2 linked regions of the Schizosaccharomyces pombe genome follow. Changing the gene in region 1 together with any one later gene gives a genetic interaction. Each region holds a gene or a part of one and is shown on either strand. Other genes may lie near its edges. The genes, in order: ade10 and ate1.

What was found.
Region 2: mutations in ade10 (region 1) and ate1 together harm fitness less than expected from each alone (positive genetic interaction), as found in Schizosaccharomyces pombe (one large-scale study listed by BioGRID).

What each region holds. Positions count from the first base shown.
Region 1 is NC_003421.2:947,553-951,478, reverse strand, and holds ade10 (bifunctional IMP cyclohydrolase/phosphoribosylaminoimidazolecarboxamideformyltransferase), read left to right. Parts: upstream 1-1,832; 5' UTR 1,833-1,889; coding exon 1,890-3,647; 3' UTR 3,648-3,882; downstream 3,883-3,926. Other genes in the region: tRNA (guanine-N7-)-methyltransferase catalytic subunit Trm8, read left to right, coding at 1-286. UniProt on the Schizosaccharomyces pombe protein: Bifunctional enzyme that catalyzes the last two steps of purine biosynthesis.
Region 2 is NC_003424.3:2,076,679-2,080,604, reverse strand, and holds ate1 (arginine-tRNA--protein transferase), read left to right. Parts: upstream 1-1,761; 5' UTR 1,762-1,874; coding exon 1,875-1,991; exon of another isoform or gene 1,992-2,045; coding exon 2,046-2,077; exon of another isoform or gene 2,078-2,118; coding exon 2,119-2,184; exon of another isoform or gene 2,185-2,238; coding exon 2,239-2,762; exon of another isoform or gene 2,763-2,808; coding exon 2,809-2,879; exon of another isoform or gene 2,880-2,920; coding exon 2,921-3,181; exon of another isoform or gene 3,182-3,220; coding exon 3,221-3,325; 3' UTR 3,326-3,498; downstream 3,499-3,926. Other genes in the region: AAA family ATPase Elf1, read left to right, coding at 1-1,331.

The sequences.
Region 1 (3,926 bases):
TAAACATAAAAATAGAATTATCACAAGTACTTTGGCAAGTGAGTATGCTTATTTCATTCGACCCCATGGAACGCTTTATACCATTACAGACGTGGAAGAGCTACATGTTTGGATGGCTCAACATCTCGACGCGCATCCCTTGTTTCGACGATTCACAAAAGAAGAAGAAGAAAACGATATATGTGTTACATTGATGACAAACGAAACAGAGGAAGGGAAAAAGGTTGCACGTAATGGCGGAAAGAAATTTGTTGCATGTTATGAGCGCATTCCAAATCCAAAATAACTTAATAATTGGGCTGAATAATATAGGTTTAAAATAACTAAATTAACATTTATCGCTAACATCATTACACTTTCGCATTGACTTACTGTTTAACTACTCATTTACAAAATCCGTACCTATCCTCAAGCTGGCTCCGTAAATAAGAGAGCTCTTTGCAACTATCCTTTTAACTCCATGGCAATATATTATGAATGCTAAATAAAACAAGAAATCTAGTAAATTTGCAAAAGGAGTAATTTTACATGTTAAGTGCCGAATTTTTGGGATTTTGAAATAAAATCAATTTGTACGGTAATATGACCTACAGCTCTCTTAAGTATTTTCAAGATACTATATTATTACTTGCTACATAATACTTCAATAACCTAAATGATCGAAATTTCAATAATTTTTAATGACTATTTGACATTCTTTAACAGTATACTAGGGCAGGGTTGTGACTGTCCAAGGATTATATAAGTAGAAGCTCATAACAAGAGGTGGTTTGTCAATTACAAAACAGAATGTAAGTAATTTCAACTTGAGTTTTAAAACGCTGAAACAATGTTAAAAATATTACTATGATGAGCAATTTGTGTCGCCCCTATCCGAAATCTGTGACGATTGACCCGGAAGCCAAATCCGATCTCTGAATATTTCTATTGTTTCAAGTGCTTTTCCATGAAATCTTATTATTTGAATAATTTACTAACTTTTTTTTACAGATTCTTATAAGCTTGAGCAAAATAAAATTAAATTCTTCTTTTTGACTCTTTAACCGTGTGTGTGTACTTTCATTTTTTTTTTATAAATTGCATCTTTTTGTAACGATTTGTTTTTGAATTTTAATTTGAAAAATGTTCCTTGCTAGTGATGTTTTTCTTTTATATTCTATGCTAATCATGAAATCTAATGATTATACTTTTATTTATAAAGACTGAAGCAAGCAATTTAGTATTTCAAAAATAAACAAGCAAAGAGGTTGTCGTATCTAAAAATTGAATGATTTTACGTGAGTTAGCTCATACGATGAAAGTATTTTTTTCTGTAATATCAGTATTGCATGATTGAGCTGTAGATTTCTGAGAACCAAGAATCAATAGCCGATGGCCGGTTTCATTATCATCTTTGTATATGATTAACACATTAGGATATTAGTAGAAAATGCTCAGACAATGACTGTAAGTGAATTTGGTGATTGACTACATGCACGATTGATCATTGCCTGTTAGGTCTAAAAGAGCAACACTCAAAACAGACTGGCATGTGGATTTAACCGTTGTCACATTCAAACTCCATTTGCAGTCACTATTGCTTCGAACAATACTTGAATTTTTCCATATGAAGTCAAAACATCGACATGAACAAAACTAGTAGCGTAGTCTAACGTATTGAAGAAAATTACCCTATTACATGTAACAGACTCTTCTGTTATCACAAATTCAGACATAATGAGAGACTGTTAGCAAACCTTATAAATTTGTTGGTTTTCGTTATCAATCAATAGCGTGTTTTTGAATAATAAGTTCTTACACTTAAAGTCGTACTTTGGGGTGCAGCAATTTTCAGCTGAACTAACATCTAAAACTTTTAGTTTGGTCGCAAACGGGATTCTTGGATAAAAATGTATGCTTTGTTAAGTGTCTACGATAAAACTGGCTTGTTAGAACTTGCCAAAGCGTTAACAAGCAAAGGCGTTAAGCTTTTGGGCAGTGGTGGTACTGCCAAGATGATCCGTGAGAGTGGAATGGAAGTCGCTGATGTATCTTCGATCACCAATGCTCCTGAGATCTTGGGTGGTCGTGTAAAGACCTTGCATCCTGCTGTCCATGGAGGCATTCTTGCTCGTGATATTCCTTCCGATGAAAAGGATCTCGTTGAACAAAGCATCGAGAAGATCGATATCGTGGTTTGCAATCTTTATCCCTTCCGTGAAACTATTGCCAAGCCTAACGTTACCATTCCTGAAGCTGTTGAGGAAATTGATATTGGTGGAGTTACTTTGTTGCGTGCCGCTGCAAAGAACCACGCTCGTGTAACCATTTTGAGCGATCCCGCTGATTATGCGACTTTCACTGATAAGTTTTTGTCAGACAAACTTACTCAAGATGACAGAAATACTTATGCTTTGAAGGCCTTTGCTTCTACTGCTTCTTACGATGCTGCCATCACTGATTACTTCCGCAAGCAATATGCTGCTGGCGTTGATCAATTGACTCTCCGTTATGGTGCTAATCCCCATCAATCTCCTGCCCAAGCCTTTATGGAACAAGGACCCCTTCCTTTCAAAGTTTTATGTGGTTCCCCTGGCTACATCAATCTTATGGACGCTTTGAACTCTTGGCCTTTGGTCAAAGAGCTTCGTGAAAACATCGGTATTCCTGCCGCTGCTTCCTTTAAGCATGTTTCTCCTGCCGGCGCTGCTGTTGGTCTACCCTTGTCTGATGTTGAAAAGAAGGTATACTTTGTTAGCGACATTACCGAGTTCACTCCTTTGGCTTGTGCTTATGCTAGAGCCCGTGGAGCTGACCGTATGTCTTCCTTTGGTGACTTTATTGCTCTCTCCGATACAGTTGATGTTTGCACTGCTCGTATTATCTCTCGTGAGGTTTCCGATGGTGTTATTGCACCCGGTTACGAGCCCGAAGCCTTGGAGTTGTTGAAGAAGAAGAAGGGTGGTAAATACTGTGTATTGCAAATGGACCCCAAGTATGTTCCCGCCGAAATTGAGACTCGCCAGGTCTACGGTATTAGCTTACAACAGCATCGCAACCATGCCAAGATTGACTTCAGCCTTTTTGAGAAAGTTGTTAGTAAGAACAAGGATTTACCCAAATCTGCTCTTATTGATTTGGTTATTGCTACCACTGCTCTTAAGTATACTCAAAGTAACTCTGTTTGCTATGCTAAGAATGGTATGGTTGTTGGACTTGGTGCTGGTCAACAATCCCGCATTCATTGCAACCGTTTGGCCGGTGATAAGGCTGATAACTGGTGGCTTCGTCATCACCCTAAAGTCTTGGGTATGCAATTTAAGAAGTCTGCTAAGCGTCCTGAGAAATCTAACGCTATTGACTTGTACGTCCTTGATGCCGTTCCTGCTGAAGGTAGTGAACGTGAGCAATGGGAGTCTGCATTCGAGACTATTCCCGAGCCTCTTACTAAAAAGGAGCGGGAGGAATTTTTGGCTACTTGCAAGGATGTTGTCTGTGCCAGTGATGCCTTCTTCCCCTTCCCTGACAACATCTATCGTCTTGCCCAAAGCGGTGTCAAATATGTTGCTGCACCTGGCGGTAGTGTCATGGATCAAGCTGTTCGCGACACTGCTAATGAGTTCAACATGGTCTTTTCCGAGATCCCCTTGCGTTTGTTCCACCATTAATCTTGTTTGTATACCTAATTTTTGACCACTATTACTATGGATATAATTTTTTTTGTTCTGTATATTTGATAGGTTTCCTCAGTTTATACCATCATTTAATAGAGGTATTACAATAAAGACTTCAACGTCTTTTACTTTTTTTGATTTAATATAAAAAAATTTGGCATCTTTTTTGTATCCTGAATTTTGAAAAGATTTCCGATACTCAAGGCATTTTATTTCAGTAATAGTAGGGAAAATATTTTTTATTGTTTAACACGAATGCAACAATTTTATTCG
Region 2 (3,926 bases), on another chromosome or scaffold:
TAGTTTCTCACGACTCTTCATTTTTGGACCACGTGTGTACTGACATCATTCATTATGAAGGTGTTAAAAACCAGGCAAAAAAGCTTGGTTATTATCAAGGTAATCTTTCAGCTTTTGTCAAGGTCAAACCGGAAGCTAAATCATACTATACATTGACAGCCACAAACGAGAAGTTTGTTTTTCCACCTCCCGGTATCTTAACTGGTGTGCGCTCAAACACACGTCTCATATTAAAAATGACAAACGCTTCTTATACATATCCCAACGCGAAGAAGAAGTCATTAGATAATGTTACCGTTGGGTTATCTTTATCTTCTCGTGTTGCCATTTTAGGTCCTAACGGTGCTGGTAAATCAACGCTTATTAAAGTTCTTATCGGTGAAGTAATCCCTCAAGAAGGAAAAGTTTTCAAGCATCCCAACTTGCGTGTGGGTTACGTTGCTCAGCATGCCTTTCATCACTTGGATCAACATCTGGAAAAAACGCCAAGTCAATATATTCAATGGCGTTATGCTGGAGGACAGGACCGCGAAGTTTCAGAGAAGGAATCTCGAAAACTTACCGAAGAAGACCGTGCTCAGCTTCAGCGTGATATTACGGTCAATGGCGAACGTAGAAGAGTGGAAGCTTTGATTGGCCGTCAAAAACTAAAAAAGTCATTTCAATATGAAATTAAATGGTTTGGGAAGCCTCATAAATACAATACGTGGGTGTCTCGAGAAATATTGCTTGAAAATGGGTTTCAAAAGTTTGTACAGGCTTTTGATGATATGGAATCTTCTCGCGAAGGTCTCGGTTTCCGTGAATTGATTCCCGAAGACATCAGGGCACATTTTGAGGATGTGGGCCTTCCTGGCGACATTGCTGATTACAGCCCCATTAGTAGTTTGTCTGGCGGTCAAAAGGTTAAAGTTGTTATTGCTGCGTGTCTCTGGAATAACCCCCAGCTTTTGGTTTTGGACGAACCTACAAACTTTTTGGACAGAGATGCATTAGGTGGTTTAGCTGTTGCTATTCGTGATTGGGAAGGTGGGGTCGTTATGATTTCACATAATGAAGAATTTGTTTCTGCGTTGTGTCCTGAACACTGGCATGTAGAAGCGGGTAAGGTTACCGGTAAGGGCAAGACCGCTGTTGACGATGGAAAGTTTGAAGATCTGTCGGAGAAAGATTTGAAAAAGATTGAGGCTAAAGCTACCAAAAAGAAGAAATTGACGAGAAATGAAATCAAGGCCAAAGAAAGACGTGCTAGAGAGAGAGAATTAGCATGGTTACAATCTCCCAAGGGCACCGAAAAACCCAAATCATTCTTCTCTGATGATGAAGAATAATTTCAGACTAATTTTTTAATTCGCTCTTTGGATTGACAAGTTGAGAGTTGTTTATCCTTTAATTTTCTTTAGACGGTGCTAGTTGTTGAAGTTGGTCTTTTACATATTTACGGTTTACTGATATACCTTTTAGACTTAATTTATATATATAGAACTTGGTGGATGGTATCGTGGATAATATTAATATTAGTCGCTTTTTATATGTTTTGTTTATCGTTAGTGCATGTTATAGTTGTATTAGACGTATACACTTTTGTCATTGACTCTTGTAAAAGGTGTCAAGAGAACTATGTATTTTTTGGGTTTTTTTCTAGATATTCGTATGAAAATGTGATAGACTTTTTAATATGATTAATCAGGAAATTTCTATAAACATGCACTCAACGAAAAATAGGGTACTTAATCTTCAAGAAATAATTGGTGTAGTCTTAGTTCACCTACTCAAAGAGCCTTCAAAATAAAGGCAAAAGAACTGAACTAAGAGTTTTACTACTGATGATATAGTTCATTTAATATTAAACAGGGAAATTTTCAAACAATAGTATGGTATTGGATAAACTGTTGTACACAGGGTACAACGTCAGTACTGAATGTGGTTATTGTAAAAGTGGAAGAAAGACCGAGCATTTTGGTTTATTAGCAGAAAAGCTCAGTTGTGAAGTAAGCGTATAACTCTGCTTTTTGCAAATTTTGCTAACCTACATTTAACCTCAGGACTACCAGCGATTGATTGATTTGGGATGGAGGTAAAAACCTTTATTAGTTAACATTGCTAATATAAAATAAGACGTTCAGGACATTATTTATATAAACCCAACGGGAAAACATCTTGCTGTTCTCTTTATACAATCAGGTACTTAGCATAAGTCGCCAAATATGATTGATTACTAACCGCCGAATGTTGAAGACTCGACAGCTATAATTTTAAAATTGCAAAAGAGCAAAAGAAGGCAATAAAAAAATGGGTCAAATATGTAAATGGAAAGCCATTAAAACCTATGAAAAGCGAAATTAGCACAGATTATTTGAACAATGCCTTTCAAACTATAGAATCGCTCGGAGCTGAAAAATACTCTGTAACTATGGAGCCTTGCACTTACACCGATGAGAAATTTGAAGTCTTCAAAAAGTATCAAATGCAAGTTCATTTAGAGAAAGAAGAGGAAATCACGAAAAAAGGATTTAGCAGGTTTCTTTGCAACTCTCCTTTATTTAATGAAGACAAGGGGATAAAGTATGGTTCTTATCATCAGATGTATCGATTTCAAGGAAGGCTTGTGGCAGTTGGAGTTTTAGACTTGCTACCACATGGTGTTTCTAGCGTTTATCTGTTTTATGATCCTGATATGTCTAAGTTTTCTCTGGGAAGGATTAGTGCCTGCCGTGAAATCTGGCTTGCTCTTGAATGCGGATATCGGTACTACTACATGGGTAGGCTAAAATGTCATTTATTTAATTACGTTGATTGACCTTGCAGGTTATTATATTCACACATGTCCCAAAATGAAGTATAAGGCAACGTATAGTCCATCGTACCTGCTTAATCCCGTACGTATACATTCGATTTTAACTTGAACTAATACAAACAGGGTACAAATAAATGGATACCAATTGAAAACTTTACTTCACTTTGGAATACTGGTGCTCCTAAATATATAAGTTTCGGGGATGAAAATAATAGTGATATTCAAACTGCTGTTGACTACGATTCTTCTGAAGATTCATCTCAAAACGAAGATGATTATACACTGTTTAATCGACAGCTTCCTGGAATTCTTTCAGTAAATGTTGCTGAGTCCTTGGTTTCGGAGAATTTTGCTAACATTGGCAATTCAACTTTCCCCACAAGAGTATGTCTTTATTTTTGAGTAACAATGCTAATTCTTCAGCATGTTTTAAGTTATTTCCCTCAGGTTAAACATTGGTTTGTTGAAATCAATGCTGCTGTGGGCGAAGAAGTCGCAAAGAGTTATACACTTGTTTTATCTAGTTGATATATTATCTGTCTACGTGTTTTATTTGCTTAAGATATGAACATCCTACTTAAAAATCTTAATGAACTCCAGGATGGCTTTGAGAGTAAATTTTACAATGTGACTTACAGAATTAAGTTAATTTTATGCTACTACTTATGTGTGATAGTTTCCTCTTTTATGTCCCTTAATCGAAGTTGATAGCATTTCTAATAATATAAAATACTGCCGGCTTATATATTTATTTTGTAATTATTTATAACTGCACGCTACCTAAAATGTCACCCTAACATAACTTAGTGGGCTTTTCCGTTACGAGTTGTTTGCAACCAAACACAAAAACGGGTTTACCGGTACTTCACGACTTAATATAATCGCAAAACAGTGCATAGTAGGTGAGAAAGGATTTTATCATTTAGAGAAGAGATTTTACTTTAATTGTTCTTCTTTTTTCTTTCTCAAGTGTTACTGCTAGGTTCTCATTCTATAGAGTATTAGCAAACACCAGATTTCGATGACATTTCGTGTCAAAATTGGGTTGACTGCATTTTAAAAATAATTAATCACGGTTGGCTTACAATTCAACTTCTAGGCACTGATTTTTTCTTCGAATGCCATTTTG